Rattus norvegicus: one gene and its partners. The main gene of each other region encodes a partner of the protein of the gene in region 3 in a complex. Links are inferred from orthologs where the notes say so. Each region holds a gene or a part of one and is shown on either strand. Other genes may lie near its edges.

Region 1 (4,221 bases), on a different chromosome or scaffold from region 3:
TTAGCTATCCTAAAAAGAAATGCATAACTTAAAGAGAATGCTAAAGAAATGCATAAGTTACATGGTTCAAAAACAATTAACAAATAGCCACGCCACATACACATAAAAATAAGAGAAATAATAATGTTTAAAAAAGAAATGCTGAACACCTATGCTGAACCAAGCACTGTAAGTAATTAAGTACTTCTGTATCTACAGATAATGATTAATGTTTATTGAGCGATTACTCCATGCAAAGCCACAAGTGTGCCACTTAAATTGACATCTCATAACCATCTCATGGTAAAACCAAGGCACCGGGAAATTCTGGGTCACATACATTCATCTATAAAACTAGGATTCAACTCAGATGGCTGACTCCAAAGCCAACTGTATCAGGGTCTGTAGAGATACAAGGCGCTAGAGAATCTGCTCTCTATACCACGAAGAGTTGCCCACTTGGTAAGAAAAGGCACATGGCCTTTTGAAGTCAAGTGATTTTGTGGTGGACTAGGAGTAGCGAACAAAAGAAACACAGGGGCTGGAGGGATAATTAGGTGGGTGATAAGAGCACTTGCTGATTTTGGGAAGAGTAGATTCAAATCCCAGACCCATTTTGGATAGCTTACAACCACCTGTAACTCCAGTGCCAGAGGATTTGAAGCCCTTTTCCACCAAAACATTTATAAATGGCAAAAGCCAGAGAAGGATATGGTTTAGATCATGTTAATGATTAAAAAGAAAAAATGGCTAACATGAGCTAGGGAGACTGCTCAGTTGAAAAAGTACTTGTTTAAGCTTGAGTAGCTAGGCTCAGATCCCTAGCGTGCACATAAAAACTAGGCACCGTACTGTGCCTATAATCCCTGTGCTGGCGAGATAGAGAAGGTAAGACCACTGGAGCCTGATGGCCAACCAATCTAGCCATGAGTTCTAGTTTCAATAAGGGTCTCGTCTCAAAACATAGGGTAGAGTACACTGTAGTGGTACATGTCTTTAAACCTGGTGGGGATGGGGAGGCAGATTCAGGAGGAAGTTGAGTTCTAGTCAGCTGGCCTACATAGCAAGTTTTACACACGCAGGCGTGCACCCACCTACAGTCACACACTCCCCCACCCAAAGGGTTAACATAAAATAAAGCATTGTTGACTTCAGTCTTATTGGAATACAAGGTTGATTAACATAGAACCATACTAATAAGAACTGTCATTACTAATATTTACTTTTTGTTTTTGTTTTTTGGTTTTTTTTGTTTGTTTGTTTGTTTTTTTGGAGACACAGTTTCTCTGGGTAGCTCTGGCTGTCCTGCAATTAGCTCTGTAGACAAGGCTGGCCTCGACCTCAATCTACCTGCCTCTGCCTCCCAGGTGCTAGGATTAAAGGCCTGTGCCACCACTGCCTGGCTCTAATATTTACTCTTAATAGGAGGTACCAGTCTAATCCTTTTACATAAATTGTTTCATTTCATCCTTCCTCAGTGAACCTCAAGAAGTAGACCTTTTTGCCCTGTGGATTTTAGGAAAAGAAAAAAAAATGTGCTTGGCAGGAATAAAATTCTCCAAAGTCAGGAAGCCATAGGACTGGAAATGTGCTTCAAATGTAATTCCTCATCTCCCAAATCTACCACACTCCAGGTTCAGAAACCATCAAGCACAGGATGGGAAAAGTGTTGTAAAGTCAGCCTTTCGAACATCAGAAGGAAGAGCTGGGATATCATTCACTGTTAGAGTGACTGACTGCATATGTGAGGCCTGGTAAAAACTAAACCAGAAGGCGAGATGGGGTGTTGCACACCTTTGGACCCAACACTCGGGAGGCAGAGACAAAGGGTTCTTTGAGTTCAAGGCCAGCCTGGTCTATCGAACTAATTCCAGCACAGCTAAAGCTATTCAAATAAACCCTGCTCCCCAACCCCCAAATCAGGAAGACTGAGAGTGAGAAGTGCTCATGTGATTTGGGTCTGTTTGGGAAATCCTGAGGCCGAAATGACGGCAACAGGAATAGAAGACGCGAGTTCTGCTTAACTTGTACATACCTTGCACTTTGTAATTTCACAAATTTAATGAGATAAACTTCTGTAAAATCTTCTGCTGGGTATTCATCTAGAGCATTATACTGTTCAATCGCACCATAGAGAGCAAATCTCTCAACTAATTCCTTCATGGCTCCCACTGCAGGAACTCCTTGTATTAGTAAGTACTGAGACTCCAAATTGATGGTATATACCTAAAGTCGGGGGAGAGCCCGTTAAACGTACTCTTCAAACAAGCCTATGGCAAATCTGTCTTCCCATCCCTCTTTTAAATGGAGCTTTGAAAACAAGAAATACTCTGCTCAATATGGTCTGCAAAACATACACACAAAACTGTCACTCTTTCTGCCTAAAGAATAACACACTCCACATAAGGGTATCTGACTAAACAGACGTCTTTTCCCAAAGTTGACCCCAGAGAAGCTAATGTAAACAGTCACTTAACAGGGCTTGTCCTGTGAGACCTTGTCCTTGTATTATAGGATGCAAAGCTAAAAATCGTGGAGTAAGCAGTAAACCGACAACAGCGATAAACTTTGTTCCTCGTGCCCCCTCCACTGAGAGATGGACTTGACAGCATCCCTGCCGTGCCTTTATGGAGGCAGGCCATGGAGAGCTAGTGCTGACAGGAAGTTAATGCTCCTGCCGAGGAGAGAGAAGGAACCCAAGTCACTCTACCTTGACCGCGCGAGGGCGTCGGCCCTCCCTGTATTTGGCCCGCGAGTCACACACAGCTGTCTGGACGTGGTGGTCGAATATGCCACCGGGTTTCCCGTCACTGGAGGCCATCTTGCCGGCTTCAAGCCCCCGCGCCAGAACAACATCCGCCAGCGGTGCTCCTTTGTGTCCAATGAGAGAGCAGTATGGGCCAAGCGTGTTAGGATTGGCTGGAGGATCGACCCCATCGACGATTGTTTCCGGAGAGCGAGACTTCGACGAGCGATGTGCCGCCCCCTAGAGCCTCGGAGGAGCGATCCGAGAGTGACAGCGGTCAGGCGAGTGAAGAGGGGGGCGGCCCCGATCGATGTTCTCGGGCTCCGACGCCCTGGCCTGACGGGAAGCCGGCGGACTCGGCTCTCCGGCGAGAGTTGAACCTTGGGACAATGTGGAGCAGTGATCGCTTAGCCGGTGCGGGGTCTGGTGGGGCGGTCGTGACGGTGGCCTTCACGAATGCTCGGGACTGCTTCCTCCATCTGCCACGGCACCTCGTGGCCCAGCTTCACCTGCTGCAGGTAACGCGATGACCGGACGCGGACACCATCGATGTCTTGTGGGACTAGTGTTCGCTGACACCTTTCCCGGTCCGGACAGTGTTTGCCACCGAACCCGCACTGAGGCGTGAGCGAGGGCCCTCTGCGGGCATGGCGTGGGGAGGCAGTGTGTGCACCTACACCCCGACTAGTGCATCCCCAGACCCTACTGGGCACCCTTTTAACTCGGTTAAACCAGACTGAACATACTAGGGTTCTGCCTCAGCATTCAGAAGCGGTCCTCACTCTAGGATGGAAAGCTCTAGAGAGCTCTTACTGGTTTTGCTAAAGCGTTATCCTGCCAACAAGTTGCCAGTGCAGCCATAGAAGCATTGAGTGGCAGACTTGATTGGTAGATTACCAAGGTTTCCAACCTGTGCCAAAGGTTAATAAAGTGACAGCTCTCCCTGCTTAGGAGGACTTCGGACACCACAAGGGGTGGGGGGGTGACAAGGCAATGGAATTATTCACACCTCGTACTTTCACCTGCGAAGCCAGGATTACTCCATCGGTGGAGAGACAGCCTCCATGTTTTATTAAGAGTGAGCACAGACTCTCTAGTTTGAGTGTATTCATGGGGTTAGACTATTTGAAATCTAAAGTCCTAGGTGCTTGGTAGCGGAATACTGGCTCATAAAAGAAATATCCAAGAGTTTGAAATGACTTGTATTCCACCTTTATTTCCTCTTTGATTTATCTTGCTTTTACAGTCCGCCTATCAAAACACACCAATTTCATCGGAATTATTCCTATTGTTAATTAGTTTGTCTTCACCAAATATTAAATATTCTTTAACTGTCTAGTTCGCTTTCTGTTGGCTAAAAGGAATCAGTCACTGTCACCAAATTCCAGCTTAGTTCACTGTTCCCTGTCATTTCTGATGGAGATTTTCAATGTACTTTCAAATCCCAAATTAATGAGTTTATAGGAATAAATTCACCACTCCATGAGTTTAGAAAA
Region 2 (3,500 bases), on a different chromosome or scaffold from region 3:
CAGAAAGTTGCATGATTCTTTTAAAGGCAGATTAATACCTGTGCTGTGTAACTCAGACAGAGGGAAGTGCTCCCACTCCTCTTAGCACCTGTCTCTTAGGTTGAGCATACTGTAATCAGGAATTAGCAAATTTTAGCTACCTAGGATATTTATTGGCATATTTTATATTGTTTTTTATCAAAGGAGCCATTGGCAAGGTGTTGTATATTCCTTACTATGTAGAAATTACTGATACTGTTTTCTTTTTTCTAATTAAAATTTTAAAGAGACAAGGTCTAGGGATACAGCTCAGTGAGAGTGCTTGTCTCGCATGGATTAGGAACCTGGGTTTGAATCCCTAGAATCTAAAAGCAGGGAGGGAAGTAATGCAAACCCATTCATTGTGTGTGCATGTATGTGCATGCTTTGGTTTTTTTTTTTTTTTTTTCTTTTAATTATTAGGACTATGATGCATATAATCTTGTTTTTTAATTAAAAGTGTTTTTATCCATTAAAACACCTTTAAAACATTTTTATTGGTTGTAGTGCATTAAATTGTAAGAGCTTATGTTTCAGTGCCCTGAGCAGTGTAGCTGGTATTGTGCTATATCTTTGTTCTCAGTACTGGAATCCTGTAAGTACAATGTTGAGTTCAGCTGTAGAACTGACTGTGCACTTCTTAGCCTTGGTATTTAAAGGGTTTCTGTAAAGATTAGACCACATTCCCCTCTGACAGTAGTCTTATGATATGGTCTTGAAGAATACCACAGTGTTTAGCTTCATTGAATAGGGGACAAAAAATGACACGGAAGCTCTAAAACATGTAAGAGAGCTCCTATAAACACAAGAAGGCTATTAGTGGAATACTTTTACACAGATCGTGAGATTGTGCAACTGTAACCGTTCATCTCTGGACCGTGCATTCCTGCTCTAGACTGTTGCCTCAGATCTCATTTGGTAGTCACTGGCCCGTTGAATATTTGAAATACCGAGGGCTGGTCTGTAATGCTAGATACAGCACAGCCAACTTTAGGGTTTGTGTGTTTGTTTTTTTTCCAAGACAGGATTTCTCTGCATATCCTTGGCTGTTGTGGAACTCTGTATAGACCAGGCTGGCCTTGAACTCAGTTTTACCTGTTTCTGCCTCTTGAGTGCTGGGTGGGGTTAAAGTTAGACGCCACCATGCCTGGCTATTTATATGCGGTGTGTGTTGATTGATGATCTATGTTGAAATAATTTTCAGGATTGAACTGAAAAGGGCTGTAAAGAATAGATAGGGTTTTTTTTTAGGGGAAGTAGTTGTGCATTGATAAATACAGTTTCATTATAATGCAACTAATTAATCTTAGTTATTGCTGGGAAGAGACACCATGGCCAAGGCACTTACAAAAGGAAGCATTTAAGTGGGAGCTTTTGGAGGCTTACATTTACAGAGCATAAGTCTGTGGCCATCATAGCAGGAGGCAGGCTGGCATGGCGTCGAAGCAGTGGATGAGAGCCTGTATCTGAGCCACAAGCTGGAGCTGACACAGCTAACCAGACTGGATCTGCCAGGGGCTCGTGAACTCCGCTCACTCCCCAGTGACACACCCTGAACCATCCTAATCCTTCTCAAACTAGTCTAACTGGGAACCAGGCAAAAGACTACAGGCTTCATTCTCCCTCAGACCAGCACAGGGCCTTCCCTCCCTGGTTAGAAACAGCTGCTGAGAGCAGTGGTAGGTGTTGCAGGAGGAGCCTGAAGCCTGCACCTCGCACCCTGCACAATTGAGAAGACATTTAACATCCCTTTGTACTGTAGTGATTCCTACTGTAAAATATTGCTCTTGTTTACCTTTGTCAGTGTCGAGCTAAGCAAATGCCTTGTCCCTGACTTTTGATTTTTCTTTTTTTTTTCGGAGGTGGGGACTGAACCCAGGGCCTTGTGCTTGCTACCACTCTGCTAAATCCCCAACCCCTCTTTTTTTTTTTTTTTTTTTTTTTTTTTTTTTAAAGCAGGGTTTTAAGGGTGCTCTTCATCATGTATCTCTGGCTGGGTTCTTTTTTCTTTAGCCTCTTGAGTGCTGGTATGCAGATGCGTGCCACTGCTCAGCCTGTATGACCTTTTTGTATTTACTAAAATAATGCATGTTTATAGAGAAAAATAGAGTGAAATTTTTCAGAAGAAAATGAACTAATCAGGCATTGTCACTGCTCTAAGTGGTGGAGCTTGGGAGAATGGAGGTGACAAAGGAGGTGGGTTAAAGTCTCATGCAATAGCCAACTTTATTCAGAGCATCAGACAGTTTATATCCACTGAGGGTAAAGAGAGAGGCATCTTAAGAGCTTAACCTGTACAGTCACAAGGCTAGTTACATGTAATTGAGTAACAACAGCAAGTACTAGTAAGTAATCTGAAGTGAGGACTTTCCTACCCCCTGCACAGGAGGAGCATAAATCATTCCAACAGCTACTCCATGCTTTAAAGAAACTGAGGTCAGGAGACTCCAGTTTTCTTGAAGAGTTCTCACAAGCATGCAGAATTCTCACAGAACTCCATTCCTGGACTGAGTTCCAGCATGGCATGATGTTCATCTCTAAACCTGAGCCCAGTAACAGTTAAGGCGAGGAGGATCTCAAGTTGAAGGCCTTTCTGGACTCCGTACTGATTCTGTCTCAAAAACAATACAAGGTCCCAAATACGGTTTATCAGCCAAGACATTGATCAGAAAAGTGGCTCCTGCTCAGAATATGGAGTTCCCACTACTAAATGTCTTCCTGAGATGAGGTCCATTAGGGTATAACAATATAACAATCTTAAGTCATATACACCTAACTGAATCTCTATTTACTGTGTATTGGGTTTCAGAATTCAGGAATAATTTTTTAGGATTAATTTTAATATGGCTAGATAGTTATTTATGCAGTGTTAAAAATTTTGTAGACATTTATGTTTTTGTGTTCTTTCCTTCACACACAGTCTGGAGCCAATTAAATCCTTTGAAGCTCCTGCAACCATCAATTCTGCATCTCTTCATCCTGAGAAGGAATTTCTTGTTGCTGGTGGAGAAGACTTTAAACTGTATAAGTATGATTATAATAGTGGAGAGGAATTAGGTGAGTCTCATTCTCTCCCCTTAATCAGGTATCTCCCTCCACCTGTGGGTCCTGACCCCTTCTAGGGATGTGTGTGTCTCAAATGACTCTTTCACAGGGATTGCTGAAGACCATTGGAAAACACAGGTATTATGATTCATAACAGTAGCAAAGTTTTAGTTCGACGTAGTAACAAAAATAATTTTATGGTTGGTGGAGGTCACTACACCACCACAGCTGTGTTAAAGGGTTGCAGCATTAGGCAGGTTGAGAGCCACTGCCTTAAATAATTTACTATCAAAATATTATGAATGCCTTAGGTATTTACGTATGGTTTGTTGAAAGTAAGTTTTCCAGCTAACTAAAACTGGAAACTCATACCTTCAAAAACAAAGGTGTTATCCATTTTTGATAGAAATACAGACCCTCTGACAAGACTGAACTCA
Region 3 (4,139 bases):
ACAAGCCGCAGCTTGGCTTCTGAAAGGCTTCCGATCAGCGGGACCTTGGTTGGGAAATGGGATGGGGGAAAGAAAAATGAAAAAGATCCCATTCCCAACTTATCCCGGACGCGGTTGCCCACTAGGAATGCTGATTCTTCTTGGTGATGCAGTCTCCAGCATCCAAAGATTTCCTAGATTGGGAGAAATCTTCAAAGCAAATCTGATCCAGCCTACTGCAGTCCTGACGAAGAAATTGCAAACGGGTGATGGAGACTTCTAAATAAATGGTTTGGGCACAGAGCTCAGATCTACCAGTGTTTCTATGCGGATGCATCCTCTTCAGAGGGGTCTAATCATAAAACAAGCCTGAAACCTTATTTTGTTGGGAAGGGGCATACGCTCAAGTGATGGATAAAGAAATAGCACAGGCGGCAAGGGCTAAACGATAAGGCCACGCTAACCCGAGACTCAATATGAAGGGAAAGAGGGAAATGACGCTGGCTGGGCCCCAGCCAAGGCTTACCCGCAGATCCCGGCTCCGTGATACCTCCTCAACCCCAGGGTGCCAGCTATTCCAGACGATATAAAAAGCCAAGCCCAGGGCCAGCGCCAGCAGCAGCAGGGGCAGGAGCTGCACCCGCGGCAGAAGACGGCGCTTGGAAAGTGAGGGTGGTTTCATGAGGCCGCGATCCCCGAGCCGCTGCCGAGACCGCCCGCGGCTGGCCGGACTCATGGCAGCTTTGCCCTGAAACCAATCCCCCCGCAGGGTGGTTTGAGTTTAGGCCAAGATTCGCCTCTCGGAGGTTACAAATGCCAATAAAGAAACACAGTAACTGCGTCCTCCCCCAATCGATTGCGATTGGCTCTCCTAAGCGCCGCACCACCCAAAAGGGAGCGCGGAAACCTTAAGGCCCGCCCCCACGGGAGAGAAACAGGCAATGAGCTGTGTCCGAATATACGAAACCTTCCCCGGCGCGGGGCCACGCCCCTTACGGAAGTCGATCAAGAAACTGTGGTTCAAGGAAAAAGGGGCGGCATCCATCCCTAAAACAAGGAACCGATTGGTTTGCCTGAAGCCATGCCCTCAAGAAAATTGTCGGCGGGTATTTTGGAAACCGGGTTGCGTTTTCCTTCTCCCAACTAGACAGTTAGGCGGGAAAACAATTTCAGTCAGACCCCGTTTTATTTTCCGCATGAGCAGACAACCTATTGTGATCCTCAGAGGCTTCAAATCCTCCCTATAGGCATTTTCTGCAGGAGAGCGTAGCCTTAGAGTCACTATGGTAACAGGGCACGCCCACAGTCGTGATTGCGCAGGCGTCGACGGAAGTCAGCCGCAGGAGACGGAAGTCCCGCCCTTCTCTTGCTGTGCTCCAAAGGCTAAAGCAACGCGCTTGGAGGCGGGAGTGATCTGCTAGCGAAACCTTCACCATGTGAGGCCGGGACGGGCTTCGGCGGGGACACGAAGATGGAGGGGGACGGTTTAGCTAAATAACAATCGAAATGGGGTGCTCATAGCTGAGGGTAGAGTTTCTCGGGCAAAAATAATGTCTTCTGAGGGATTTGAGAACGGGCATGGGGCCTCGGTTCTTGAGTTCCGGAGAGGGGACAGCTTTATTCCATAATGGGTGTAAGACTCTTCTAGGTACCGAGGCTTGCGGAAATGAACCGTAAAGGAAAAACTGAGTCTGATGGCACATGCCTAGAATCCCAAGCCTAGAGAGGCTGAGTCAGGAGTATCGCTAGTTGGTGGTCAGCCTTGACCAGCTTCATAGCGTGTCCGCTTACAAAAGTAATAGTAATTTTATATAGAAGTGGTCTTAATGGATGAAGAGCTTGGCGGAGAAGGAAGTACTATTAGAAATAGTAAATAGAGACGTATGGGACTTAACCAGGATAAATTAGGACTTTTGAACCTAATTAGAGATTGTCAGAGTAGCAGGCTACTACAATGGTTTATTCATTGAGCGGATATTATGTAGACTGTAAGTTAGACACATGGTAAATAGAAGGTCCTTGCTACCAAGGAAAAAAAATCTCTCAGGGCTTATAAAAAGAATCCAATAGGAAAGCCATAGAGTAATAAACAAGTACATACAGTATGTCTTAGATGATCAGGAGTGTGAATGGAGAATTGAGTAGGAAAGAAATAACACCAGTAGGTAGCACAGAAGTATTGGGCATTGAAAGCCCAATACTTGGGCTGGGGATTTAGCTTAGTGGACAGAGTACTTACCTACTGTGGGCCCTGGGTTTGGTCCTCAGCCACACACAGACTAGATGTAACCCCAGTATCCTGGAGGCAGAGACAGACAAGTCTGAGTTCCAGGGGCAGGTCTATTTATACAGGGAGACACTGTTGTGGGGTGGGATGGAAGAGAAATGGCCAAATTTTTGGACATATCATGGAAGCAGATGACAAGATAAGACGACAGAGTGAGGTTTGAAAGAATCAGGTGCCAGGCATGATGGTGAGCCCCCTGTAATCTCAGACCTTGGGTGATGGAGTCAGGAGAATTGAGAATTCAAGGTCAACAGTGGCTGGACGAGGTTTGGTTAATGAGCTGGAGCAGGCTAACTTGGAAATGTCTCTCCTGCCTCCAGAGAAGACTGTACCAGGAAGGGCATTTGGGGGCCAGGCTGGGGAGACACTGGACAATGTAGCTTTGGTCACTTATGCTTCCAACCTGAACCCGTCTCACCCCCCGGGTTCTCTATCCAGGAGTCTCCTCAATAAACCCAAGAGTGAGATGACCCCAGAGGAGCTGCAGAAGCGGGAGGAGGAGGAATTCAACACAGGTCCCCTCTCGGTGCTCACACAGTCGGTCAAAAACAACACGCAAGTGCTCATTAACTGTCGAAACAACAAGAAGCTCCTGGGCCGGGTGAAGGCCTTTGACAGGTGGGCATTGTCTTGGGGAAGGTCATTTGAGAAGAATTGTCGTAATAAGGTGGGCAAGGTGACAAAGTGCCTTTAGTCTCAGCACTCAAGGGGATCACTGTCAGTTGGAGCCAGCCAGGGTCACAGGGCAAGACCCAGCTAGCTCAAAAAATTAGAAAGTGGGGGTGCTTGGCTTTTTTTTTTTTATCTTATGTGTTTGGGCGTTTTGTCTGCGGGTGAGTCTGTCTGTGTACTGTGGACATGTCTAATACCTTCAGAAGTCATCAGATCCCCGGCAGGAGGAGGGACAGGAATTAAGATGTTTGGTTTGTTCCTCTGTAGGCCAGACATCAATGTCAAATATCTTCTACTGCTTTCTAGTTTGTTTTGAGGCAGGGTCTTTAACTATGTAGCCTGGGCTGGCTACAGATGTAGCAGAGGCTAACCTTATGCTTCTGATCCTCTTGCTACCATCTCCCAAGCGCTAGGATTACAGGGGCGAAGCATACCCTCCTGCCTTGTTTTAGTTAGCATGGAAGTTGCCTTGTGACGTGGTCCTACACATCTGGCATTGTACTTTGCTCATCGTCACTGTCCTCAAGCAAGCATTCGTGGAATGAACTGATCCAAGTGTGAGCACATGTCCACCTGCATGAGGACAGGGCCATGAGGCACTGGAGTGCACGTGTTGGGAACCATGTCTAACCCCAGAACTTAAGGTTTGGAGGGAGCTAATGCTTCTCTCAGAGTTAGAGTTAACTGCAGAGCCAGGGCCATTTTGGTGACCTTTACTGTGTACCGGGGTCCTAAGTGCTTCTTTCATCCAATCTTCACATCAGCCCCATGAAGTAGACTGTTTCCATTTCAAGAAGGGGGAAACTGAGGCACAGAAGGGACACTTAAGATGGGGCTGAGATCACACCTTGAAGCCTGCCCATCCCCACTGTGGAACCTGAACTCCGTCCCTATGCCTGCTGCTGGAGGGTTCACACATTCAGAATGTCCCCCTCACTCTGGCTTTTTCCTCCACCCTTTACCCCATCAGGCACTGCAACATGGTGCTGGAAAATGTGAAGGAGATGTGGACTGAGGTCCCCAAGAGCGGCAAGGGCAAGAAGAAGTCCAAGCCTGTCAACAAGGACCGCTACATCTCCAAGATGTTCCTGCGCGGGGACTCAGTCATTGTGGTGCTGCGGAACCCGCTCATCGCTGGCAAGTAAACTAGAGGCCAGCCTCAGCCCGCTGAGAGCCTGCTCCCTGCCCAGCCAAGTCCCGC
Region 4 (3,500 bases), on a different chromosome or scaffold from region 3:
CAGGTTCTCAGGAATTCTTCTGCCAAAGGTGAATTCTGCAGGTACACGTAATTGCAACAGAACTTAACCACAGATTTTGCTGCAGAATTCGAGAGGCCCCTACTTCTAAGTTTATGTAGCTAAATGAATTTCAAATCTTGCACATATTTTTTAGTGAAACTTAAAAGCTGCTAGACATCACTCTGAATGAACAATACTCTCTCCCTCTCACTGTCTCTGTCTCTCACCCTCAAAGTTGTGCAAACTCCATAACCCCAGTATTCCCTTCTGGAAGGGGCTGCTTGGTTACTGGATTATAGCATTCATAGCTCAAACACAATCAGGAGTTATGTGTTTTACTCTCAGAGATAGCTGTTTCCTGTCCTAGGTTATGGTTTTGTTTCCAATATTTTTGAAGTAATTTATGTACTTAGCTACATAAACTCAAAAGTTGGATTAAAAGAACTAGCTGTGTTTCTGTGCATATTGTACATACTGTGAAGTCACTCTTCAAAGGGACGCAGGTAGTGAAGTGAGTGCTTTTTCCACAGAAGGAGACGTTCTTCCGCATCGCTGTCTGGAAGTAGCTCGTCGTCCTCTTCATCTCGTTCCCGGTCACCGCCAAAGAAGCCTCCCAAGAGGACATCCAGCCCTCCTCGGAAAACTCGTAGGTTATCACCTTCGGCAAGTCCTCCGAGGCGAAGGCACCGGCCGTCATCTCCAGCAACTCCGCCACCCAAAACTCGCCATTCCCCAACTCCCCAGCAGTCAAACCGTGCAAGAAAAAGTCGTGTGTCTGTGTCTCCAGGAAGAACCTCGGGTAAAGGTACAAACACAACGCACTTTGTTCCCTTTGGCATCTGGGTGAGCCCACTTGTACCTACCTTCCACCAGAATAGGCTGGGCAGTACTTTCTATGTGACACTGAATGGGCTTGGCTGAAATGGGACAATATGTAAAGATGCTTTTTTTCCTCATTGTCCTCTATGCACAGGTGGCACAGATCATAGCTCGGTTGAGGCTGTTTGAGTGGGGTAACAAATTGAAGCGTGTGTTCTTACTGTAAAGGTTCGTTTTATTGAGACCGATCAGTTAACTATTTTCCACCCTCCCTCCCCACACCTCTGCTTAAGGCTTTTGTTTAATATCTTATTTGCAGACTTTGTGTCTGTTGTTATTTTTGGTCACAGTTATGCTCCCAGGGGAAGGACATGGTGTCCCCTTCAAGGTTGATTTGCTTTATTTCTTTGATTGATTTATGGATTTACAATCTAAGATGATGTCCCTACTCTGTTCAGTAGATTGGTTTCTGAAGAACTGGAGGCCTGTGGTTGTGCCAGCCAAAGTAGAGTGTGTATTAGTCAGTGTGGAAACTGGTTTGCTGGGGTTTGCTTTATTTAGCACTAAGCACACGTGAAGAAAAGGGAGAGGATCCATTCCGGTGGTGCCTTTGGTGCTAGGGCTGGAGAAATAGGGGCAGCCTGAAAGGTGAGTGGAGGGGGGGTGAGAGGGTTGGGGTTTTCGAGAGTGGTGTTCTGAGCCCACTGACTGCCCAAAGTGCCTGGATAACAAGGGAGCACCACAAGGCCTAGTCAAGCTGTGCGTTCCACCTGTTCCACCGAGGGATAGCTGTGGGAAGAGAACCTGCTAAAAATGGCAAACCATAAAAACTAAAGTACAGATCATTACTTAATTTTAACATCAAGTTCATTCAGTAACCAAATGTGTGATATTTAACTATTTTTTAGCATGCGTTGTATTAATTTTATATAAAAATGAGCACATTTCAGCCTCTCTTTGAGTCCATCACCATGTCCTAATCTAGTACTCATTGCTCTCGCTCACTTGTCTTTCCTATGACATTTACACGCATAAACATTTCTTGTGTTTAGAGCTAGAAAGCTCTCTGAAGAAAAAAACTGTTCAGAGTTCCCACAATTATTTTGGAAAATACATTTTTTTTTTCATTTAGATTATATAGAAGTTATTTTATTCTACCTGAACTGAAGGAGTTAACTATTAAAATATGGCCATTGTTGGAACTTATTAGTTACCGACTTATGAGCCTGCACAGGTGCCAGGCTCCTGCTCTGATGTGGGCCTTGCACACGTGTCATAGATAACTGCATTCAGGAGACACGGTTGTGGGCAGCGGGACCTGTTGTGTGTTCTTGTAGGCTTGAGGCAAGGAGCAGCCTCTTTAACCAGACAGTTACACTGTGGGCAGTTTAGTCTGTTTTATGTCCACTGAAGCTCTAAATAGGTTTGAGCTCTGTGGATGTGACCGTAGTGTTGAGATTTGACAGCTACAGAAGACCACAGTAGTCAGGTTCTTTGATCGAGTGACTTAGCCACAGTTAGTAAGAGTTTAAGTGTCCATTCCTGTTACTGCGCAGTGAGAATTGCTGAGTTGCTGCTCCACTGAGGGATGTCTCTGGTGACTAGGGAGGAAGATGGAGGGTGGAATGAGGAAGTTGTTTGGCTTCTCCACTAGGTACTGTGATCAGAAATGCCCACGTTGGGGTCTCTGGGTACTTAGGGCAGGGGCACTCCTATAGTGTGGAGTTCCTGAGGAGATGTTAGCTGGCCATCTTAGGATCTGTTGTTGATAATGGGCTAATGAACTAGGAGTAAGGAGAGAAGAGCAGTGGGATTTGGTGGTCAGTCATTGAGCACAGTTCACAGTCCCTTCTGAGGGTGTTTTGAAGCAACTTTGAATCAGTCATGATCTGAGTACTGCATGAACTTGTTCTGAGTCAAGTGTCCTGCCACAGCTTGTCCCTTTTAAATCAGCTAAATTGTGCTCTGTGAATGCTTCATGTATTTTCCTATGTGACAAGTTATCTTTTGGGCAATCTGAGATTAATAATTAATAGGACTGTTGAAATGTTTTAAGATTCTGGTTTTAGAGTTGGTCTCGGATTTCTGACTTCATGCTAGAATGATTTGTTCTTTGAATTATTAAAACACTATTAACATAACAGTAAAAGGAAAAATCTCATTTAGAAAAATACAGAAAATGTTACTTGTAGTAATGCTTTTATCTCAAGGGTTAAAGGATAAAGCGTATGCTGTAAATAGTACTAAAGACTTACTGAGACATTGAGTCAGGATGAACTTTCCCATGTGTTTATTCACACTTTTTTAACAAAATATGTAATGTTGGCTCCATGTGACAGTGCACCCCACCCCTGTCCCCCTGAAACAGTTTCTCTGTGTAGCCCTGGCTGTGCTGGAACTCTGTAGACCCGGCTGGCTTTAGAGCTCCTCCTGCCTCTCTCTGCCTCTCTCTGCCTCTGCCTCCACCTCCCAAGTACTGGGATTATAAAGGTGCTCCACCACCATCCGCTGAGGGCGCAGTTCTTTTTTTTTTTCATTCCAGTATTACATAGCCAGTTTGAGGCCAGATCTTGTCTCGATATATAAAAGCAGTGTTACAGTTTAGTTATTTTATTCCGTAACTAACATGCACCAATTTATCCTGTAGGGATAACCACTACATTTTCTTACAGCCAAACAAG
Region 5 (4,277 bases), on a different chromosome or scaffold from region 3:
CTGAGTTGACAAGGTCTTTCCTTAGGTACCTGACATGTAGGTGTTACCTCCCACTCTGCAGATGCAACCACTGAGATGATTACTGTCATCTGCCACCACGCCCAGCCAAATGGCAGAAGTTTTCCATGTCCAGTTGACTTTGTTGCTCTTGTTTTTGGTGTAACATCTAAGAATTCATTGCCAAATCCAATGCCATGAAGACAAACCCTGTTTTCTTCTAAGAGTTTTTGTTTGCTTTGTTGTTGTTTCAAGATGGTTTCTCAGGGTTGCCCTGGTTTTCCTGGAACTCACTCTGTAGACCAGGCTGGCCCCAGATTCAGAGATCTGCCTGCCTTTCTCTAAATGCTGGAATTAAGGACTATACACCACCACTATGCCAAAAACTGACTTTTACAGATTACATGTATTTATGTACCTTGTGTGTGTGCGCACACACCACAGTCACCTGAGGGAGTCAGAGGACATCTTTCAGGAATCGGTTCTCTCCTTCTACCTTGTGGGTCCTGAGCATTGAACTCAGGCTGCAAGAATTGGTGGCAAGCACCTTTACCCACTGAGCCATCTTACCAACCCCAACAGAAACTAGAACTAGAAGAAATATGCGGTAGACTCATTAGAAAGTGAAGTTGTTTCCTAGTAAGATGGAAATTAGAATTTTCCAATAGCATGAAGGTTTTTAAAAAAAAGATTTATATATATATATGTATATATATATATATATATATATATACATATATATATATAGTCGCTATCTTCAGACATACCAGAAGAAGGCATCAAATCCCATTACAGATGGTTGTGAGCCACCATGTGGTTGCTGGGAATTGAACTCAGGACCTCTGGAAGAATAGTCAGTGCTCTTAACCACTGAGCCATCTCTCCAGCTCTATCATGAAGGTTTTACTTTTTTTTTTTTAATTTTATGTGAATACACTCTCGCTGTCTTCAGACACACGAGAAGAGGGCATTGGATCCCATTACAGATGGTTGTGAGCCACCATGTGGTTGCTGGGAATTGAACTCAGGACCTCTGGAAGAGCAGTCAATGCTCTTAACCGCTGAGCCATCTCTCCAGCTCAATTTTTTTTTTTTTTCTTTTTTTCCGGGGCTGGGGACCGAACCCAGGACCTTGCGCTTCCTAGGCAAGCGCTCTACCACTGAGCCAAATCCCCAACCCCTAATATTTTTTTTGTTTGTTTTTACTATAAAGGACACTTTGAGTACGAATGTGGATGTCCTTGCTTTTAGTTCTAGCAATAAGGTTAGCGCACTAACTCTTGACCCAAGGGAATGTGCTGCCAAACGACTTCTGCTCCCGGCAATCAGGACTGGACTAACGTTGGCTTTGCTCCGCGGCAAGTCAGCGAGCGGACTTAAGCTTTAGGATCCCGCCGCGCGTGCGCCCGGCCGCCGGCACCTTGATACCGCGGCTGCGCGGCTCAGGTCCCGCCTTCTCAAGTCACGTGTTATAGGGACCGCAGCGTGGCGGTGGCTCTGGCGGTAGCGACGGCGGGCCATAGGGCAACCGGAAGGTTTCCGGTTCCGGTGTAACGTTCGGGCTCCGTCTCAGGGGCTGAAGTTTGTGAGGTGAGTAGTGGCCCTGCGCCCGAGAGGATAGCCTTCGGTCCGAGCGGCTGGACAGGGCGGGAGTGTTCGGCGGGAAGCAGGCTGAGAGGAACCCCGGGTTCTGTTGGGGGACGGAATCAGAATGGGCTTGCTGAAGGAAAAGGGCGGGGGCGGGAAGGAGCAGGGTGGGCAGACCTGCTCTGAGGTGAGGAGTTAGGTCGGACTCGGTTGAAGCGGGGGCCAGTTGGAAAGATAGTAAAGAGGGAGCATGGGGGACTCAGGGGCTTGTAGCTTAGAAAAGTAAGGAATTCCTTCAGAAGATGAGAGTCTGCTTTCTGCTCATTCAGAAGACAGCCTTCTGCCTTCCTCCCGTTCCCCTCTACCCCCCAGGCCCACACCGACACTGACGCCTCCTCGCTATTATAGTTATTTGGTTGGTGACAACTGTAGTGATTGGAACTTTCTTATCCATTGACTGCTTCGTTTGCACATTCGGGTCGAATTTGAAGACATCTATTTGTCAGTATATTGCCTGGGCTCACATCCAGTCTTCTAGTGTTTCACCTATTACTTTGGATTTTGAAAATTGCTTAAACTTTCCAGTCTATTACTCAATTGTAGTGGGTCGTAAGTTTCATTAACACGAGGATTCTTGGCTGTTTTGTTCACTGCTGTATGTGTCTTTACATGCAGTAAGTATTCTGCTTAACAAGTAATAGGAACTTAAGTATTTACTGAATGGAGTGTTATGTCAGATGTTCCCACTTTCTAAGATGAGTATCCTGAGGCTCTGGTGATTAACTTGCTTACCTAAGGGCTTATAAATGGTAGTGCTTACTATATCCTCTCTTCAGTGGGCTTTCTTCTCCACCTTTAGTGCCTGTGTTTGCTTTCTTTTTGATAGGCAGTATACTGCTATCTCATGATGGCCCAAAAAGCAATCCCAGGATTATTCATAAGACTTGTCACTGAGGAACAGCCTTTCAGCTTCATTCAGGTGTATTAAATACTGTGCATTGATAGATCTTCTGAGAGATAAGTCTGTCAATTGTAGGAGCTAATTAGACTGCATCTTTTTGTTTTATGACAAGGTCTCATATAGCCAAGAGTTGACATTGAACTCCGTAGACAAGGCTGGACTTGAACTCCTGATTCCCCTTGTGCTGGGATCACAGACTTGTATGGTCATTTGAGGTGGCATCTTTTAGATGTCTTTAAACACCTTGAAAGAGTCATTTCCCAGATCGCACTACGATACAGGGCAGTGCTAAGAGGAGGTCAGCTGGGAAGTTAAGGTCAATTGACTGACATACAGCCATTGGGAAGAAAATCAGAAATTAAGTTAACTTTATGCTGGTGAAGATGTTTGAGATTTAAGAGTACCCAAATGTAAGCATGAATAGTGTTGAAATTTTACACCAATTTGCATTAAGTAATAAAGAATCATTTTGGCATATAGAATGCTTACAACCATGAATAAATCTACAGAGAAATGACAGCATTCTTAAAGATTATGAGATTTAACAGGAGGACTGACTTGAATAAAACCTCTTATTTGTATCCATTAAAGATGTTTTAGGTCAAAGCCGGGTTAGAGAATGCCTTCCAGAGTAGACGTAATAGTAAGGTTGACTTCTAGATTGACTCTTCAGATGTTCTGTTTGCCTATCCTTTATATGACAGAGTCAGAAGTTAGAACCCATTCCTCAGATTAGGTTATTCCTAGTTTGTTTATTCTTCAGATAGTGTTGATGACTGATGCTGAGTTAGAATCAAAATATCAAATGAGTGGGGCATGGTGGTATGCTCCCGGAATTCCTCACTAGGTAAGTGGAGGAGAATTGCCAAGTGTTGAGTTCTGCATGAGCTACATTGTAAGACCCTATCTCAAAACTCAGAAAAGCTGGGGCTGGGGATTTAGCTCAGTGGTAGAGCGCTTACCTAGGAAGCGCAAGGCCCTGGGTTCGGTCCCCAGCTCTGAAAAAAAAAGAACCAAAAAAAAAAAAAAAAAAACTCAGAAAAGCTAATGGAACCCTTTCCTCCTGTTTTGAAGCTTGGTTTTAGGGAAAGTATTCTCCATATCAAATGGAGAGACATGCCTAGGGGTTGAAAATAGGAGTGGGGAAAGCACCCTTATTATACTGTTATCTTGATTGCTTTGTTTTCCTTTTCTCTGACTCTTGCTTGGTTTCTTTTAGGTGTAGTACTTTGTCCGATTTGAGCTCTTAGTCTCTGTTTCCTCCAAAATGGCACTGTCTAAGCGGGAACTGGATGAGCTGAAACCATGGATAGAGAAGACAGTGAAGAGAGTGCTGGGTTTCTCAGAGCCCACGGTGGTCACAGCGGCATTGAACTGTGTGGGGAAGGGCATGGACAAAAAGAAGGCGGCTGGTGTGTACCTCTCTGACTCTTCTGACTTAACAAGTATATTGATTCCAAACACTAATTTGAAACTGCCCCAGGTTGTTCCTATTGGAGCATCAAAGGAAAGGTGGGGCTAGCCCCTTCTCCTTTTGTTGTTGTTTTCTTGTTTTGTTTTTTTGAGACAAGGTTTCCTCTGTAGCGATGTCTGGCCTGAAACTCAGATATCCACCTGCCTCTGCTTCCTGAGTGCTGGGATTAAAAGCACACACCACTCCCTCCTCCCCCTTTTTTATTAAAAGACAGGGTCTCATGGATCCCGGCCTGGCTTCCAGCTCACTAGCCGAGGA
Region 6 (2,482 bases), about 79 Mb from region 3:
CTCCTGGAACTCAGAGAGCCACCTGCCTCTGCCTCTAAAATGCTGGGATTAAAGATGTGTGCTGCCGGGGTTGGGGGATATAGCTCAGTGGGAGAGCGGCAAGGCCCTGGGTTCGGTCCCCAGCTCCGAAAAAAAGAAAAAAAAAAAAAAGATGTGTGCTGCCACCACCTGGCAAGATGCTTTATGACAAAGTTTAGACAGAAGAATAAATATTAGATGGAGTTGCACAAGTCTCTAGTCTCAGGAGTCAGGAGGATTGCTGTGAGCTCAGGGACAAAACTTCGCCTCCCCCCTCTTACATCAAATAAACAAAAGTACCCCCAAACTCCTGTATTTTCAATTTGTCTGTCATCATCCATCCTCTCTGGCTATGATTGCTCTTACCCCATTCTTAAGATTTTTTTTTTTTTTTGAGAATACAATCTTCATCACGCTATTCGCATATCCTCAGGGAGTACCATGAAAGAAGTACAATTATCTTTTTCTGAGTAGTTTGTACCATGCGAGAAAGTGCACAACCCCCAACATAAGGCAGAAATCAGCAGAAAAACACAAGATGAAGAGAAAGAGGTTTCTTGTCTCGAGCCATATCCGACTTCAAGGAATAGCCTATGAATGACCTTAAAGAGGGGTTGTTTGCCCAAGGCCACAGAGCCTAGGTGGGTTGAGAAACTGGCGCCTGGAACTCCTTAGGGAAGCCATTAATGAGACTACCAGTGCTGACACTGATCAACAAGCAGCTAGCGAGAGTCAAAAAACAAAACAAAACAAAACAAAAAAAAAAAAAAAAACAACAAAAAAAAACTTTTCCCGGTACCCAAATCCTAAGAGACAAAACTTGGGCCAAGGCGGAACCATGCCACCATGTTAACTTCTAGGTACAAGAGTTAGTTTTCCTCGTTGCTCATACTGTTGTGTTGCGGCAGTATGAGATTTCAATGACAGTGGGATTATGAAACCCACGTAGGTTTCTCCTTCTTTGTAGCCCGGAGCCGTGGGATGAAGCTTCGAGGTTTTTGGACATTGTCCTATATAAGCCAGGCAAAACCCCTCAAAAACAATCTAAGACAAACTCTTTGGACTACATGTCCCAGAATGCAACGCGAGGGTTAGAACGTGATCACCCAAGAGCCACTAAGAGGACCATCATGCAACGCTCTTCGAAGTAGGCGGGCTCCGTGAGGAGACGGCCCACTGTTTCCTAGGCAACCCCAATCCCGCAACAGACTTTATTTCCCCTTCCGCCTAGGAAAAGAAAGTACTCCTGCGACTGCGTGTCGTCTTTCTCCTGCGCCAGCACGAATAGAGCTTTTGTGCGGCGGCAGCGGCGGCGGCGTCTCTCTGATTTGAACGCCGAACAGCGGTAGCTTCTCATCTGTGGCCTGACCTCGAAGCCTAAGAACAGAGCGGCGAGATGACGGACCGGTACACCATCCACAGCCAGCTCGAGCATCTGCAGTCCAAGTACATCGGCACGGGCCACGCCGACACCACCAAGTGGGAATGGCTTGTGAACCAGCATCGGGATTCCTACTGCTCCTACATGGGTCACTTCGACCTCCTCAACTACTTCGCCATTGCTGAGAATGAGAGCAAAGCGCGCGTGCGTTTCAACCTGATGGAGAAAATGCTGCAGCCCAGCGGGCCGCCGGCGGACAAGCCGGAGGAGAACTGAGGCGAGCGCTTCCCAGCCTTCCCCATCTGCCATCTGTGGACCGATCCTCCTGACTCCTGCTTCTCGACCATTCTCCGTTGGGTGTATCGCCTGACCTGCTTACCTGTGGACGGTTCCGAACAAGTCATCGAGAGACTGTCGGGTCTCCTGGGAGCTGTGCGGAAGGAGTGATCCCAGAATCGGCAAGCGAGGGAGAAGACTGCCTGGGAGTGATGACGCATTCCGAGTCAGCTTTTCGATAGTTGATGTCGTTCTCGCCTTTTTTTTTTTTAAATATATATCATACATAAAGTTAGGATTTGTTATATCTTTTGGTTTGAATTGCTGTGTTCTTTGGGAGGTATTTGGAGAGAGTTCTGTGGATCAAGATTTCGTGAGAATATGACTAGAAAACGGGGGCGGAAGCACAGGGCAAGCGTTTATTGACAAGTACTTTAGTTGTCACACACACTTTTATGATCTTCCCTCACCTCGATTTTCTTCATGCCTACAGTGTGTCTGGTACCAAGGAAACCTTCAAGCATGGAGTTTTTCCACATTCCTTCCCACCCATTTCTAGTCTTTGCTGTCATTAACCTCACTTCCCTTTATGCTGCAGCCCCCTCCCCCCTTTCTTGGTAATTAGTTTGTGTGTCTTCAGAAATGACAAACTGGCAAACAATGGTGTCCTGTCCCGACCCTGCTCCACCTCTCCCCATTCAGTTTTCACCAGAGCATTTTCCAAAGGTTTGAGGACATACATTATGCCGGCCAGTTTGGAAGCAGATATGCTAAACTAGTCAAGAGTTAGAAGATGGAGGGGGATGG
Region 7 (2,212 bases), on a different chromosome or scaffold from region 3:
TAGCTGTGGATCAGATGCATCAGTTAGAAACATAGAGTGCTGTCTGACCTGGACCCTTCCCACTCACTGAGTCTGCTTTACCCATTGGGGGAGAAACTTATCCCGTAGATCTCCTTCAGATGGCCTTCTAGGAACATAATGCAGCGTCCTGTGCGTAGGTCCCAAACTCGGCCAAAGGCATCCAGTCCCCTGAGGAGACAACATTTGTGTGAACATATGGAATACAGTGTGACAAGAAAGCGGGGTTGCCTAAGAGGTGAGACTACTAAGCTGCCCTTCCCTTGCTTTGTGGAGGAAATCTTACCCAGTGCCAGCCAAAGAGCCATCTTGATGGAAGGCAATGTCATACACACCCATGCTGTGGCCTTCCTGGTGTAGAATCTCCTCTTGAGCCTCTAAATCCCATAAGCGCCATGAACGGTCATAACTTAAAAATAAATAAGAATAAATTTTCCAACTTACCAAAATTATACCAACGATAAATCAGCAGATTAAGTGTCTATGACAAGGGGTTGGGGATTTAGCTCAGTGGTAGAGTGCTTGCCTGGCAAATGCAAGGCCCTGGGTTCGGTCCCCAGCTCCGAAAAAAAAGAAAAAGAAAAAAAAAAGTGTCTATGACAAGGAACTATAGATAACCATAGCTTAGCTCGCCGCTGGTCAACCATACTACCAAGAGCTGCCAGGCTGGAGGGGGACGGCTGAGGACAAAAGCAGACTGCTCTTCCAAAGGTCCTGAGCATGATTTCCAGCAACCACATAGTGGCTCACAACCATCTATAATAAAATCTGGTGCCCTCTTCTGGTGTGCAGGCATATATGCACATAGAACACTACTAAATAAATCTAAAGGCGGGGCAATTGTATCCTAAAAAAAGGAAAGAAAGGAAGTAAGGAAGGAAGGGGAAGAGAAGGGAAGGAAAAGGAAGGAAGGAAGGAGAGAGAGAGGAAGGAAGGAAAGAAGGAAGGAAGGAAGGAAGGAAGGTAGGTAGGTCTTTCTGACATGAGCAATGCCTCACCGTCCAAGAGTCTGTTTTAGTTGACAGTTGGGAGACCATGAACATTCTGTACTTTAGTGGGTATTCTTTAAAAAACAAATTCCCTGGATTGGGGTTGGAGCTCAATAGTAGGGAGGTCTTGCCTGGTATGTGCAGGGCCCTGGGTTCGGCCACGAGCACAAAACAAAAACAAACTTCTTGAAGAATGGCCCAGCAAAGATGGCACTGCCTCCCCCTCATTCCTCTGCTGCACTCCTTCACTCATCATCAGGCATTTGTGTATTTACTGGAGACTCAATTGAAATTTGGGCATTAAAGAAAGAAAGGACAAATAGAGCAGATCTAGAAATAGACCCGAATGTGTACAATCAGAATGTTCTCATTAAAGGTGCAAAAGGAATTTTAATGAAAATCTTAAAGGATGGTTGCAAACAGGTTTTGGTAGTACAAATACAGAACAGATAAACTCAGGAAGGGCAAAGCAATTGGAGCCTGCACTAAAGATGTGCAAGATGTGTGAGCATGTGGCAAAATAAGTGCAACGCCATCAGGGTGGGACACTGACATGAGGTATTACTGTGTGCTCTACTGTGGGCAAAACAGTACGACTGGCAACAGCAGACACCGACACAGCTACAAACCAGAGTGGGTGGAGCCCAGCTGTTTCTAAGATTTTATTCTGGGGAACAGCGTCTCACTATGAAGCCCAGACTGGCCTCAGTTGTGAGGCCCTTGTGCTGAGTGTTGGGACTGTAAGCATATGGCACTGAATCCAGCTTGCCCAAATCCTTTAAAAGCTAACATACATCTACTCTATACACCACCACTCCACAAACTAGCAATTATATTGTAACTATCTAAGAGCAAGGGAAAGACAACCACTATATCTACAAAAAGCTTCAATAAGGGTATTTATAGATGGCACAGGATGTTATTCCAGAGGACCCAAGTCCCAGGACCCACACAGCAGCTCACAATCATGCGTAACTCTAATCTGATGCCCTTTTTCTGGACGCAGGCAAAAAACTCATACACAAAACATGAAAAAAGGGTGTTTACAGTAGTTTTATCTTGACTGGCCACAACCTAGAAACATGCCCACATGTCCATCAACGGGAGGATGCATAAACCGTGGCTCAGACACACAACACACTACAACTCAACAACACTAATGGGTATAAACAGGCAGAATGAACGCAATCAAGTCATAGGTTGTT

Evidence for each region.
Region 1: Snrpd2 (region 3) and Rbm48 share a complex: the UniProt entries of both Homo sapiens proteins name them as parts of the minor spliceosome. The link is inferred for Rattus norvegicus from reciprocal best matches to the Homo sapiens genes SNRPD2 and RBM48.
Region 2: Snrpd2 (region 3) and Strap share a complex: the UniProt entries of both Homo sapiens proteins name them as parts of the SMN-Sm complex. The link is inferred for Rattus norvegicus from reciprocal best matches to the Homo sapiens genes SNRPD2 and STRAP.
Region 4: Snrpd2 (region 3) and Srrm1 share a complex: the UniProt entries of both Homo sapiens proteins name them as parts of the minor spliceosome. The link is inferred for Rattus norvegicus from reciprocal best matches to the Homo sapiens genes SNRPD2 and SRRM1.
Region 5: Snrpd2 (region 3) and Prpf3 share a complex: the UniProt entries of both Homo sapiens proteins name them as parts of the U4/U6-U5 tri-snRNP complex. The link is inferred for Rattus norvegicus from reciprocal best matches to the Homo sapiens genes SNRPD2 and PRPF3.
Region 6: Snrpd2 (region 3) and Sf3b5 share a complex: the UniProt entries of both Homo sapiens proteins name them as parts of the minor spliceosome. The link is inferred for Rattus norvegicus from reciprocal best matches to the Homo sapiens genes SNRPD2 and SF3B5.
Region 7: Snrpd2 (region 3) and Prpf4 share a complex: the UniProt entries of both Homo sapiens proteins name them as parts of the U4/U6-U5 tri-snRNP complex. The link is inferred for Rattus norvegicus from reciprocal best matches to the Homo sapiens genes SNRPD2 and PRPF4.

Annotation. Positions count from the first base shown.
Region 1 is NC_086022.1:31,512,506-31,516,726, reverse strand, and holds the start of Rbm48 (RNA-binding protein 48), read right to left. Parts: upstream 2,801-4,221; coding exon 2,690-2,800; intron 2,206-2,689; coding exon 2,015-2,205; intron 10-2,014; coding exon 1-9. Other genes in the region: peroxisomal ATPase PEX1, read left to right, coding at 3,115-3,243. UniProt on the Homo sapiens protein: As a component of the minor spliceosome, involved in the splicing of U12-type introns in pre-mRNAs.
Region 2 is NC_086022.1:172,383,825-172,387,324, forward strand, and holds part of Strap (serine-threonine kinase receptor-associated protein), read left to right. Parts: intron 1-2,938; coding exon 2,939-3,075; intron 3,076-3,500. UniProt on the Homo sapiens protein: The SMN complex catalyzes the assembly of small nuclear ribonucleoproteins (snRNPs), the building blocks of the spliceosome, and thereby plays an important role in the splicing of cellular pre-mRNAs.
Region 3 is NC_086019.1:87,925,070-87,929,208, forward strand, and holds the start of Snrpd2 (small nuclear ribonucleoprotein Sm D2), read left to right. Parts: upstream 1-1,339; 5' UTR 1,340-1,413; coding exon 1,414-1,415; intron 1,416-2,704; coding exon 2,705-2,884; intron 2,885-3,908; coding exon 3,909-4,083; 3' UTR 4,084-4,139. Other genes in the region: Qpctl (glutaminyl-peptide cyclotransferase-like protein), read right to left, coding at 1-44, 506-715. UniProt on the Homo sapiens protein: Plays a role in pre-mRNA splicing as a core component of the spliceosomal U1, U2, U4 and U5 small nuclear ribonucleoproteins (snRNPs), the building blocks of the spliceosome.
Region 4 is NC_086023.1:152,858,437-152,861,936, reverse strand, and holds part of Srrm1 (serine/arginine repetitive matrix protein 1), read left to right. Parts: intron 1-3; coding exon of another isoform or gene 4-41; intron 42-530; coding exon 531-805; intron 806-3,500. UniProt on the Homo sapiens protein: Part of pre- and post-splicing multiprotein mRNP complexes. As a component of the minor spliceosome, involved in the splicing of U12-type introns in pre-mRNAs. Involved in numerous pre-mRNA processing events.
Region 5 is NC_086020.1:186,089,628-186,093,904, reverse strand, and holds the start of Prpf3 (U4/U6 small nuclear ribonucleoprotein Prp3), read left to right. Parts: upstream 1-1,477; 5' UTR 1,478-1,587; intron 1,588-3,764; 5' UTR 3,765-3,812; coding exon 3,813-3,957; intron 3,958-4,277. UniProt on the Homo sapiens protein: Plays a role in pre-mRNA splicing as component of the U4/U6-U5 tri-snRNP complex that is involved in spliceosome assembly, and as component of the precatalytic spliceosome (spliceosome B complex).
Region 6 is NC_086019.1:9,175,920-9,178,401, forward strand, and holds Sf3b5 (splicing factor 3B subunit 5), read left to right. Parts: upstream 1-1,269; 5' UTR 1,270-1,414; coding exon 1,415-1,675; 3' UTR 1,676-1,982; downstream 1,983-2,482. UniProt on the Homo sapiens protein: Component of the 17S U2 SnRNP complex of the spliceosome, a large ribonucleoprotein complex that removes introns from transcribed pre-mRNAs.
Region 7 is NC_086023.1:80,885,511-80,887,722, reverse strand, and holds part of Prpf4 (U4/U6 small nuclear ribonucleoprotein Prp4), read right to left. Parts: intron 428-2,212; coding exon 305-427; intron 190-304; coding exon 82-189; intron 4-81; coding exon 1-3. UniProt on the Homo sapiens protein: Plays a role in pre-mRNA splicing as component of the U4/U6-U5 tri-snRNP complex that is involved in spliceosome assembly, and as component of the precatalytic spliceosome (spliceosome B complex).